3 linked regions of the Xenopus tropicalis genome follow. The protein of the gene in region 1 interacts with the protein of each later gene in a pairwise test. Links are inferred from orthologs where the notes say so. Each region holds a gene or a part of one and is shown in the gene's direction. Other genes may lie near its edges.

Region 1 (4,093 bases):
CCAGGCAGAGCCATGTGTAACACTTAGGAAAGAAAGAACTGAGGCACGGAAGCCCACCAGGGACACAACAGGTGCAAGAGGAAAGCTTCTCCTGACAGGACTACCTGCCCAGCCACATTTTCTTTCTATGACTACTCGACTCCATTGGCAGACAATGCGGCCACGTGGCTAGGGCACAGCACAATAGCTTCCCAGCCACATGCACTCAGCCGGTCCCACATACACACTGGACACGTCTTCCCCAGTCCTGCATTAACGTCACCACTGCCGAAACCCTCGCCCTACACTCCTCGGAACCTTCCGCCACCAATCGTACAGCCTACTGCGTCATCACCAGGCCCCGCCCCCATTCTCCCCTCCCCACTTGCCCAGTTGCTCAGTTCTTTTTTATCAGCGTTCCACAAAGTAGCAGGCGCGCATGCGCGGCGGCCATTTTCCCATACTTCCTCCCGTCAATGCAGTTCTCCGCCCCTTTGACAAGCTGCCTGCCCGGCTCCCAGCAGCTGTCCTCCAATGCCGTGTGAGATTAAAGAGGAGGAGGGAGGGACAGGCGCTGTGTAACAGGGAGCCTGAGCCGAGAGGCACTGCTAGAGAAAAGAAAGGCAGAGTCACGGGGGGAAAGAGACACTAAGAGGGGAGCTTATTAACAGCCGGTCGCTCCCAGCTACTGCTTCGGCTTCCACTCGCCCCCCTTTTCCGTGCCGGAAGGGTGATTTTGGAGTAGCCGAACTGAAAGCAGCCGTTGCCAGCTAGCGCATCCCTATACGGCTAGCGTTCGGCCCCTGCTATACGGATTGGGCCGCTGCCGGGCCCCGGGCACGATGCCTGCTGAAGGCTGTCAGTGATGGCCTCTTCTTTTGCCGCTCAGCTTGTTGCCGACGTTTCCAGATCTTTGACCGGACGCACTACCGACAACGAACAAGATAACCGCGGCTGTCCTGTCATCTGCCGTACCCGGCGCCCGGATCCTGGGAAACTATTTGTGCTGCCACTGCCCCCTGAGGATTGATATGGAGGAGTGTCATTAAAGGGAAGGCGTTTGATCATTGTGATTAAGAGCGGAGTGGGAGGCGGCCGGGGAAGTGGCACCGCATTACATGTATCTGGCTAGTGCGCAGAGGAGTGGGTGACGTCCATCTGCCCGTGTGTGTCTCTATAACATACATAGATACATATAGAGCGAACAGGGCTGCAGCTGTTTGATCTCAGCAGGAGAGCCCCGATCCCCCTTAGTGAGGGAGGCACATCTTGCACGTTTGGAGGAGTGGATGTGGGTGGGCTAAGGGGTTAGAGGAGGGGAATTAAAATGCACCAGCCTGATCCAGCCGCAGATCTTGCTGCCAGGAAGATGGCGCACCCGGCAGATCTGCCCAGAAGGGGTAGTGGGACTGGTGGCAGCTCGGCTGCGCTGCATGGAGCAGTAGGGCCAGGGCTCGCCGGCCACGTCCTGTCTTCAGATGATTACCCTCCTCTGTTGGTGCAGCCTCCGCCTCCCGCCGCAGCTTCATCTCCTGGACCCCAGCAGCATCCTCCCCAAACACTGAATTTACTGCCCCAGCCACTTGTGCAGAGCGGCGCCCAGATCAAGAAGAAAAGCGGCTTTCAGATCACCAGTGTAACTTCTGCTCAAATCTCAGCCAGCATGAGCTCCAACAATAGCATTGCTGAAGATACCGAGAGCTATGACGATCTGGATGAGTCTCACACCGAGGATTTGTCATCTTCTGAAATATTGGATGTGTCTTTATCTAGAGCCACAGACCTTGGGGGTCCAGAAAGAAGTTCATCAGAAGAGACTTTGAATAACTTCCAGGAAGCTGAGACACCTGGTGCTGTCTCTCCTAACCAACCACACCTCCCCCAGCATCATCTGCCACAGAATGTACAGCAGAATATCATGATTAATGGAAGTATACATCATCACCACCTTCATCACCATGGACATAGCCATCCTTCCCAACATGGATTACCCAATGCAGCCATTCCCGGAGGGTTACCCCCAACTCCTGCTTCAGTGAAACTGCCTGCACAAGGCAGTTCTGATAGTGCTGTTACAGCAGTGCCTGTTGCTGCTCCTTCTGTTTCTCATCAGCCTGCTGGATCTATACCACCAATTGCAGGTAAAACAAGTGGACCTGTAAGTACTGGCATTACTCCTGCTTCAGGTAATACTAGTGCACCAACTAATGCAAATATTTCAAGTCTGAGTGGTGTAACAGGTTCTTTGCCTAGTGGTGTAAATATAAATCAAAGTTCTGTCACAAGTACAAGTAATGTAGGCACTTTACCTGGCAGCCTTAATCTGCAGTCACAAGGCACTACTGGTAATGGTAGCAGTGCTACTTCTGGTATCATGAACAATGTTTCTGGTGCTGCTGCTGCGTCAGCAATTGGACAGAATGCAGCACAACATCAGGCGGTTGCTTCAGGTGCAGCAACATCTAGATTTAGAGTTGTAAAATTAGACTCTAGTTCTGAACCTTTTAAAAAAGGCAGATGGACGTGTATGGAATTTTATGACAAAGATAATGTAGCAGCTGCAACAGAAGGAGCTGCAATCAACAAAGCCGTAGAGAGCATTAAACAAAACCCACTTGAAGTAATGTCTGAAAGAGAGAGCACTAGTGGAAGCTCAGTTAGTAGCAACATCAGCACTTTGAGCCATTATACGGAAAGTGTTGGTAGTGGAGAAATGGGGACGCCTTCCGTACAGCAGCCAGGATTTCAAGGTCTAGGTCCTCCGCAGATGGACTTGAGTAACGCAATAGCTCAGACTATTCCTGCCCCCAGTATGCCACAGAGTATTTCCCAGCCCCAGCTTGCTCAGTTACAGATGCATTCACAAGATGCCAACTTTTCTCCTCAGAAACTAGCAGGGCAGCCTGCTCAAGCTCCATTGAATGCTTCTGCTGGTGTCCAGCCAGCATCAGTTAATATACTTGGTGTGCCATCCTCTTTGGGACATCAGCAGCCAAGTGTTTCTACTTTGATCCCACAACAATTGCCATACACTCAACAGACTCAGCCCATACAAAGTCTCCCAGCTGTTCCACAACAGTTACAATACACGCATCAACAGACTGCCTCTGCCCAGATGACCTCTGGACATGTACCAGTAAATCAAAGTTCTGTTCCAGGGAATTTGCCGGAATACATTCAGCATCCACAAATAATACAAACAGCCATTCCCCCAATGCAAACCAGTTCTACAGTTGTTAATACTGCAGCTGTCCCTGTTGCCCAAACACATGCCATGCAAACCCAGATTCAGTCTTCAACAGCACAAGCTCCAGCAGCAGTTGCTCAAACTCAGCCTGTGGCACACCCCCCGGCATCAATTGCAGCAACAGGTCAGATGTTAGGTGTTAATCCACAAGGTAACCTTCCTGCTACAGTGCATCAAGCAGCTACCCCTCAAGTTGCAACATCTATAATACAACAGAGTGTTCCAGCTCCTTCTTCCCAGGTATTGCCTCCACCACAAGGAATACAGGTTGGTCCTCCTGGAATTCCTCAACAAGTCATTATTGCACCTCAGAGTACACTGCTTCCTGCAAAGCCTCAAAGTCAGCTTATTGACCCTCCTGTACAAGGCATGTCAAACCAACAGGTACCTGCTGTAAGTCCTCTGCTAGCTGCAGCTAGTGTTCCGACTGTTCAGCAACTAAGTACAAGTATACCTTCCGCTTTACCTCCAACGGCAACAACTTTGGGTCCACCACCAACAGTTTCACAAGCTTCAGCAGCGCAAAATGGGAATTTGGGTCAAAGTAGTAACCAAGCACCTGTGATCGCAAATTTACCAGTTGCTCAAAGCTTACCACTACAGTTGACACAGAGTTCAGGCCAGTTTGTTGCACCATCTCTTATTCAGTCTGTGGCAAGCCAGATAGAAGATGCCAGACGTATAATGGAGCATTCAGTAGCTGGCATATCCACTGTTGGCGAAGGAGCTTCTTCAGAAGGTAGCGGTGGTCTTCCAGTCTCTGGGTCCTTGCTTCCACTGAAATCTCTTCCTCTATCAACACCTCTTGTTGATGGTGAAGATGAAAGGTAAGTTGAAATAGAAAGTTAAAAGGTTTGGGTTGTTATC
Region 2 (4,159 bases), about 37 Mb from region 1:
GAAAAAAGGAGAAAAGGCACAGGTTACATAGCAGATAACAGATAAGCTCTGTAGAATACAATAGTGTTTTATCTGTTATCTGCTATGTGCCTGTGCCTTTTCTCCTTTGAATGGCTGCCTCCATGGCTACACAGCAGCTTATTTATATAAATTATAGTAGGCTTTCTGAAGTAAACACACAACTTTTACCAGTGCAGGGCAGCAGCACATTATATTTTAGTTACTTTTATACACTTTCATTTTTTGGTGTTATTTAAATAAACCCAATAGGGCTGTTCTACCCCAATAAGGGGTAATTATATCTTAGTTGGGATCAAGTACAGGTACTGTTTTATTATTACAGAGAAAAGGGAATCATTTAACCATTAAATAAACCCAATAGGGCTGTTCTGCCCCAATAAGGGGTAATTATATCTTAGTTGGGATCAAGTACAGGTACTGTTTTATTATTACAGAGAAAAGGGAATCATTTAACCATGAAATAAACCCAATAGGGCTGTTCTGCCCCAATAAGGGGTAATTATATCTTAGTTGGGATCAAGTACAGGTACTGTTTTATTATTACAGAGAAAAGGGAATCATTTAACCATTAAATAAACCCAATAGGGCTGTTCTGCCCCAATAAGGGGTAATTATATCTTAGTTGGGATCAAGTACAGGTACTGTTTTATTATTACAGAGAAAAGGGAATCATTTAACCATTAAACCCAATAGGGCTGTTCTGCCCCCAATAAGGGGTAATTATATCTTAGTTGGGATCAAGTACAGGTACTGTTTTATTATTACAGAGAAAAAGGAAATAATTTTTAAAAGTAAGAATTATTTGCTTATAATGGAGTCTATGGGAGATGGCCTTTCTTTCTGGATAACTGGTTTCCGGATAAGGGGTTCCATACTTGTACTAGCCTGATTCAAAAGGATATGGAATTATTTCTTAGGGTGACAGGTCCCCTTTAACAGTATTCCAGTGTGTTTGACTCTAAATAATAATAGTGCCAGCCCTATGCCAGTGAATATGGCTAATGGCTACCCCCTGCTGTTGTGGGCAGAAACACTGGGATAATGTGCATAGTGAGTTTCATCCCCTTTATAAAACTCTCTTCATTATTCACAACATGCTGAGAAAAAGAAACCATTAATTGCCACAGGAACTCTGAAATACTGCTTTGCAGTTGGTCAATTTTAAAAACCTTGGGCCTATTCTGGGGCGGAGAGAGAGAAAAGAAGTCTCCGGAATTAGGGAGAGTATTCAGCTATGGCGTGAGTCAGAATTCCTGGGGAATGTCATCATGCACAGAGCAATTACATTAGAACAATGAAGCTACCCAGAAAAACTACATTCCCCATCATGCATTTCCACCAGACAGGAAGTTGCCAACCAGGAAGTAGAATGAGATTGCTCAATGCTGCTCAGTAGTAGCAGGTAGTGTATGAGATGAAGGGCAGCCAGCTTTATAGGCATCTGTCCCTCCAGGGCAATAGGCTCCACTTGCACCTTTTCCAGGGAAAAAAGCTCCAGCTGCACCCTTCCCAGGGACACAAGGGGACAGCGCACAGGACTTGGAAGAAAGGTAACAATGTATTAAATATTATGGTACAGCATGGGTACAATGTGGCAGGGAGTTAGATACATAGGTGTGCAGTAACCCATAGCAACCAGCCAGCAGTTACATTTGATCATAGTGCAAGTCTTTGGTTGCTATGGGTTACTGCACTGGGATGCCCTTAGAGTGTGTGTATTTGTGTGTTGCTATATAGTGTATTGCAACTGTACAGATTGCCTGGAACAATATCCCTTTGTATGCTGCTGTATAAAGCAGCACATACAGCAGCCAGCTTCCAATATACTTGTACACACTGTAAACTGCATGTCCTCTATTTTAAAGGACAAGTCAACCCAGAATATAAGTTTTTGCTTAATAAAAGAAAACAAAATTCTAAGCGACTTAATATACGTTCATTACAAGTTTGCAATGGTTTTTGAGTTATTTGTATTTATAATTGCTATTAGAAGCAGTGTTTGTCTGTCCTTTCCTATTCCCTGCCCTGGGGGCTCCGGCATATGAAACAATGTAACACAAGGCAGCAGCCTGACAGACCTGACTCGCTGGGGGAGACCGACCTTTGCAACATTGTTTAAAAAGTAACAACCAGTTCAGCCAATGCTGCTTTCAGTAGCAATTACATTTACAAATAACTTTTAAAGCACTGAAAATGTATAATAAATTCGTATTGGAAAGTTGCTTAGAATTATCTTTTCTTTTACTAGGCAAAAACTTTTGGGGGTTGACTTGTCCTTTAATAGGAAAATGAATGCGGCAAGTGTATCAGTTAGGTCTGCTCCATCTTTATATGGAAAATGTGCGGCCTGGGGGTGCAACAGCTACTGGGCCGGTCTCTGTTTATTACAATGGCCTTAGATTGGGTCTGTTTCCTGTGGCCCCTGGGGCCCTGTTGGATAAGGAAGTGCCTTGGGTAATGCTCTGATGGCAATGGAGGCTGAAAGAGAATCTGGAATGAAACCGACCCCCAACTTCAGAGCTTGTAGGATGAATCTGGGGGGGTGGGATTGGCTGCGCTTTATACATCGTACCCATGTGTTCCAGGGCCAAATTGAATTAAGAGGTCTGTGTAGCTCTAGAGATGACTCAGGGATATGAAAATCCCTTTGGGGGGCCTCATTCAGCCCCCTGGCTTCCAGCTGGACAAGCCTGTGTTTATTGCTGGGTGCTGGGGTTCATAGAACAGCCTCAGTCCCTTCTGAACAGAGCCCTGTGGCTTCCAGAGCTATGGTAATGTTTTATAAATAATCTAGAATTCAGCGAGAATGGTCACGCTGGGCCCCCTTAGAAGATTTTGCTGCAGGGGGGCCCAGAGCGACCAGTCCCTTCCCTCCCGGCCCTGTCGCGCCGCACCTCCTAGCACAGCCCATATTACTGTAAAGGTAGTAGAAGGGCCGGGGAGGGAAACTAGGGTACAGCAGACCCCGCAGTATGGGCCCCCCCGCGACCACAGGGTCTGCTGTATACACAGTCACTGCTAGAATTCCTTTTTATATATGTATATTTGTACATAAGAATACATTATGTACATTATATTTTAAACAAAGCATTTAGCAAAAAAAAGTCTAGTTTGGCAGTCTTTATTTCACATGATTCCTATGTGAAAGCTAAATAGATATATAAGATGCTATATAATAGCACAGAATTATGCAGGTGATTATGGCTCTGTGTGACCTTAGCTCCCTCTGTTTCCCTAGGGTTTGCCACCTCGGCAGCGCTTCCCGCCGGGTACGATGTGAGACAAGTGGAGATTACGCCGCTGGAGCAGAGGAAGCTGACGTTTGATACCCATGCCTTAGTGAGGGAGCTGGAGACCCACGGTGAGTCCCAAACCTCTTCTGATGGCTCTTATTCTCTGAACTGCCCGGCTAAGGGTACATGGGGGCGGGGGGGATGATCACTGTGGAGGAGGATACATATAGTGCCAATCAGCTGAATATATAGGCACCCACGGTAAGGGGCAAGGGGGGCACATTCCCTCAAACAGGGCACGGACCATTGCCCCAGGCCCCCATAATGGTGTTTGAGATCTCAGTAAGTTCAGTAATATGGGGGAAGTCTAAATCTGCTTGTGTCTGAGAGACTGAGTGTGAGTCTGCATGTGTGTGTTATTGTACAGTTAAGGGACTAGGGTTGCCGGCTAAGCTCTGCCGGCTAAGAAAGCTGGGCAAGGGGGCGGGGGTGATGTCATAGGGGTGGGGAAGAGGCGGGGTCATGATGTTGCAGGGCGGGGAAGAGGCAGGGCCGTGACATCGCAGAGTGGGGAAGGAGGCAGGGCTGTGACTAGGCGATTGCCCAATCACCGCGTCAATGTTACTGAGTCCTGCCCAGTTTTCCTAATCAGGGAAACCAGGCAGGAGGTTTTGACACAGGCAGCCATTCCAAAAACCATGCTATCCGGGTCAAAACCGGACAGGAGGGAACCCTATAAGGAACACATTATGGTGTTTAAGCCAACAGCACTGGTGAAGTTGCCCATAGCAACCAATCAGCAATTCAAATTCAGGTTAACTACAAGTTAAACAAAGGCAAAGATCTGATTGGTGGCTATGGCCAACATAATTTGTGATATTGACTTAGACACTATAATAAATGTG
Region 3 (4,247 bases), on another chromosome or scaffold:
AGAGCAGGCAGTAACCCTTCCAACACTTTCCCCTGTCTCTGCCCCTATATATTAGGTACCTACCTAGTGCTACCAACCCCTATTTCTGTAGGGAAATGAGAGCAGGGCAGGCAGTAACCCTTCCAACACTTTCCCCTGTCTCTGCCCCTATATATTAGGTACCTACCTAGTGCTACAAACCCCTATTTCTGTAGGGAAATGAGAGCAGGGGCAGGCAGTAACCCTTCCAACACTTTCCCCTGTCTCTGCCCTATATATTAGGTACCTACCTAGTGCTACCAACTCCTATTTCTGTAGGGAAATGAGAGCAGAGCAGGCAGTAACCCTTCCAACACTTTCCCCTGTCTCTGCCCCTATATATTAGGTACCTACCTAGTGCTACCAACCCCTATTTCTGTAGGGAAATGAGAGCAGGGCAGGCAGTAACCCTTCCAACACTTTCCCCTGTCTCTGCCCCTATATATTAGGTACCTACCTAGTGCTACCAACCCCTATTTCTGTAGGGAAATGAGAGCAGAGCAGGCAGTAACCCTTCCAACACTTTCCCCTGTCTCTGTCCCTATATATTAGGTACCTACCTAGTGCTACCAACCCCTATTTCTGTAGGGAAATGAGAGCAGGGCAGGCAGTAACCCTTCCAACACTTTCCCCTGTCTCTGTCCCTATATATTAGGTACCTACCTAGTGCTACCAACCCCTATTTCTGTAGGGAAATGAGAGCAGAGCAGGCAGTAACCCTTCCAACACTTTCCCCTGTCTCTGTCCCTATATATTAGGTACCTACCTAGTGCTACCAACCCCTATTTCTGTAGGGAAATGAGAGCAGAGCAGGCAGTAACCCTTCCAACACTTTCCCCTGTCTCTGTCCCTATATATTAGGTACCTACCTAGTGCTACCAACCCCTATTTCTGTAGGGAAATGAGAGCAGAGCAGGCAGTAACCCTTCCAACACTTTCCCCTGTCTCTGTCCCTATATATTAGGTACCTACCTAGTGCTACCAACCCCTATTTCTGTAGGGAAATGAGAGCAGGGCAGGCAGTAACCCTTCCAACACTTTCCCCTGTCTCTGTCCCTATATATTAGGTACCTACCTAGTGCTACCAACCCCTATTTCTGTAGGGAAATGAGAGCAGGGCAGGCAGTAACCCTTCCAACACTTTCCCCTGTCTCTGCCCCTATATATTAGGTACCTACCTAGTGCTACCAACCCCTATTTCTGTAGGGAAATGAGAGCAGGGCAGGCAGTAACCCTTCCAACACTTTCCCCTGTCTCCGTCTGTCGCTCGGCTCCTGAATATTTCATGCCATTTCCTTCTGGTTTGGTGGAGAATGATAGAAATGTCCGTAGAAGGAGATTGGATGCTGGGAGGAGAGGGAGGAGGAGAAAGGGATAGAGAGACAGAGGGGAGGAGAGATAGAAAGAGACAGAGGGGAGGAGAGAGAGAGAGAGAGAGAGAGAGAGGGAGAGAGAGACAGATGAGGAGGGGGATGGGACACGTCTTTGTATAGCAGAACGAGGCTTGTGAGGAACAGACCCATAGAGATACCCAGTGCCACTGGCAGCCACACATGTACCCACTGCCTCCGTGACACCCAGAGACCCACACACAGGGCGAGCCACCCTAGGGTGCCACAGGCACATCCTCAGCGGCACTGGTCCTCCCTGCTCCATCAGCATCACTCCCCCAGGAGAAGGAACCATGGGTGCATCCGAGAGACTAAAGTCCAGCCTTCTGCCTGCCAGCTGCCTCCTTCTGCTGGGTGCTCAGGTGAGGGGGCTCTACAGGGCCATATTGGGGTGGGTGCTGGGTGGGCGACGTTGCCTAAGGGCAAGGGGTGAAAGGAAAGGTGCAGACAGTGGGCACAGCTGGACTGGGTGGAGCCCCTCTCTATAGTGGCACGGGGGGGGGGGCAGCATGGAAGGATTCAGGTCATGTTTCTATTGGCTTGGCAGGGGGGGTTATTGTGATGAATTGCCCCCACCAACCCAACGCTTCATGTGGCAGCGAAGGGGTTAATTCACGTGTGATGGGTGCGCAGGGAGTAGGTATTGATCTGGAAGCGGGGGCGGATGGGGCATCAGCAGGGGCAGTTGTGCTAGGGCTGGGGGGGCTGGGAGGGGGGGATCCAATATAGATTGAAGGGTCCTGCATGGGGTTAATGTTGTTTTCTTCATATGACACCGATATCCATAATAATCAATAATCCATAATCATAAACCCATAGCCCATAGGGTTGTGCAGCATACAAGGCTTGTCTCAAGAGCTTACAGTCTAGAGGGACACCCTACCTCGCCGGGTGGTGCTAAAGCGTGTAGGCTTCTGTAAAAGCGACATGCAAAATACTGGACTCAGGAGCTCACAATCTAAAGGGTCAAGGTGGCCGCCAGTTGGAAGGTAAAATGGGGGGAGATCAGTCCGTGGCCCTCCAGCCCCCACATACATAGAAATACACATTTATTAACAATGGGCAAAACTGCACCAATGCAGTAACCCGTAGCAACCAATTAGAGGTGTCAGCCTGCAGTCGACAGATATAGTGTAAGTGTAATTGCTGATTGGTCGGAAGGGGTTGGTGCAGTGGTGCCCACTTACCTGTTAGTAACAAAAAATGTATCTGGATTTCTAAAGCTACGGGCCAGGGGCCAATGGCACCTCTGGGCACAAGGGAATGCTGGTTGCCAGGTCTGATTCAGGGTAGTAGGTCCCATGGCACAATAGGTCTCCCCCATTATTTATACACAATAATACGGCCCAACCTTCTGCTCACCCACTGTTGTGTAACTATGTGATTTCTGCCACTTCAACAACAACTGAAGGGCTACAGGTTGGCACCACGGTTACTGTCACACAGTGTTACCGGCCCAGTCTTACCCTACCCACCACCTTGCCTTCATTCCTTATCTTCCCCTACTGTCTCCATCTTCCCCTACTGTCTCCATCTTGCCCTACTGTCTCCATCTTGCCCTACTGTCTCCATCTTGCCCTACTGTCTCCATCTTGCCCTACTGTCTCCATCTTGTCCTACTGTCTCCATCTTGCCCTACTGTCTCCATCTTGCTCTACTGTCTCCATCTTGTCCTACTGTCTCCATCTTGCTCTACTGTCTCCATCTTGCCCTACTGTCTCCATCTTGCCCTACTGTCTCCATCTTGCCCTACTGTTTCCATCTTGACATCTTTTCCTACTGTCTCCATCTTGCCCTACTGTCTCCATCTTGCTCTACTGTCTCCATCTTGCCCTACTGTCTCCATCTTGCCCTACTGTCTCCATCTTGCCCTACTGTCTCCATCTTGTCCTACTGTCTCCATCTTGCCCTACTGTCTCCATCTTGCTCTACTGTCTCCATCTTGCCCTACTGTCTCCATCTTGCCCTACTGTCTCCATCTTGCTCTACTGTCTCCATCTTGTCCTACTGTCTCCATCTTGCTCTACTGTCTCCATCTTGCCCTACTGTCTCCATCTTGCCCTACTGTCTCCATCTTGCCCTACTGTCTCCATCTTGTCCTACTGTCTCCATCTTTCCCTACTATCTCCATCTTGTTTTACTGTCTCCATCTTGCTCTACTGTCTCCATCTTGCCCTACTGTCTCCATCTTGCCCTACTGTCTCCATCTTGTCCTACTGTCTCCATCTTTCCCTACTATCTCCATCTTGTTTTACTGTCTCCATCTTGCTCTACTGTCTCCATCTTGCCCTACTGTCTCCATCTTGTCCTACTGTCTGCATCTTTCCCTACTGTCTGCATCTTGTTTTATTGTCTCCATCTTGTTCTACTGTTTCCATCTTGCCCGACTGTCTTCATCTTGTTCTACTGTCTCCATCTTGCTCGACTGTCTTTATCTTGCCCTACTGTCTCCATCTTGTCCTACTGTCTCCATCTTGTTCTACTGTCTCCATCTTGCCCTACTGTCTCCATTTTTCCCTACTGTCTCCATCTTGTTCTACTGTCTCCATCTTGCCCTAATGTCTCCATCTTGGCCTACTGTCCCCATCTTGTTCTACTGTCTCCATCTTGCCCTACTGTCTCCATCTTGTCCTACTGTCTCCATCTTGCCCTACTGTCTCCATCTTGTCCTACTGTCTCCATCTTGTTCTACTGTCTCCATCTTGCCCTACTGTCTCCATCTTGGCCTACTGTCTCCATCTTGCCCTACTGTCTCTATCTTGTTCTACTGTCTCTATCTTGTTCTACTGTCTCCATTTTGTCCTACTGTCTCCATCTTGTCCTACTGTCTCCATCTTG

The links. The genes of interacting proteins can lie anywhere in the genome.
Region 2: the proteins of tsc22d1 (region 1) and ccdc90b interact in a two-hybrid assay, tested with the Homo sapiens proteins (2 studies listed by BioGRID and IntAct). The link is inferred for Xenopus tropicalis from reciprocal best matches to the Homo sapiens genes TSC22D1 and CCDC90B.
Region 3: the proteins of tsc22d1 (region 1) and aplp1 interact in a two-hybrid assay, tested with the Homo sapiens proteins (2 studies listed by BioGRID and IntAct). The link is inferred for Xenopus tropicalis from reciprocal best matches to the Homo sapiens genes TSC22D1 and APLP1.

The regions. Positions count from the first base shown.
Region 1 is NC_030678.2:133,681,775-133,685,867, reverse strand, and holds the start of tsc22d1 (TSC22 domain family protein 1), read left to right. Parts: upstream 1-1,292; 5' UTR 1,293-1,306; coding exon 1,307-4,053; intron 4,054-4,093. UniProt on the Homo sapiens protein: Transcriptional repressor. Acts on the C-type natriuretic peptide (CNP) promoter. Acts to promote CASP3-mediated apoptosis.
Region 2 is NC_030678.2:170,735,489-170,739,647, reverse strand, and holds the start of ccdc90b (coiled-coil domain-containing protein 90B, mitochondrial), read left to right. Parts: upstream 1-1,359; 5' UTR 1,360-1,435; coding exon 1,436-1,571; intron 1,572-3,259; coding exon 3,260-3,382; intron 3,383-4,159.
Region 3 is NC_030683.2:128,757,401-128,761,647, forward strand, and holds the start of aplp1 (amyloid-like protein 1), read left to right. Parts: upstream 1-1,447; 5' UTR 1,448-1,702; coding exon 1,703-1,771; intron 1,772-4,247. UniProt on the Homo sapiens protein: May play a role in postsynaptic function. The C-terminal gamma-secretase processed fragment, ALID1, activates transcription activation through APBB1 (Fe65) binding. Couples to JIP signal transduction through C-terminal binding.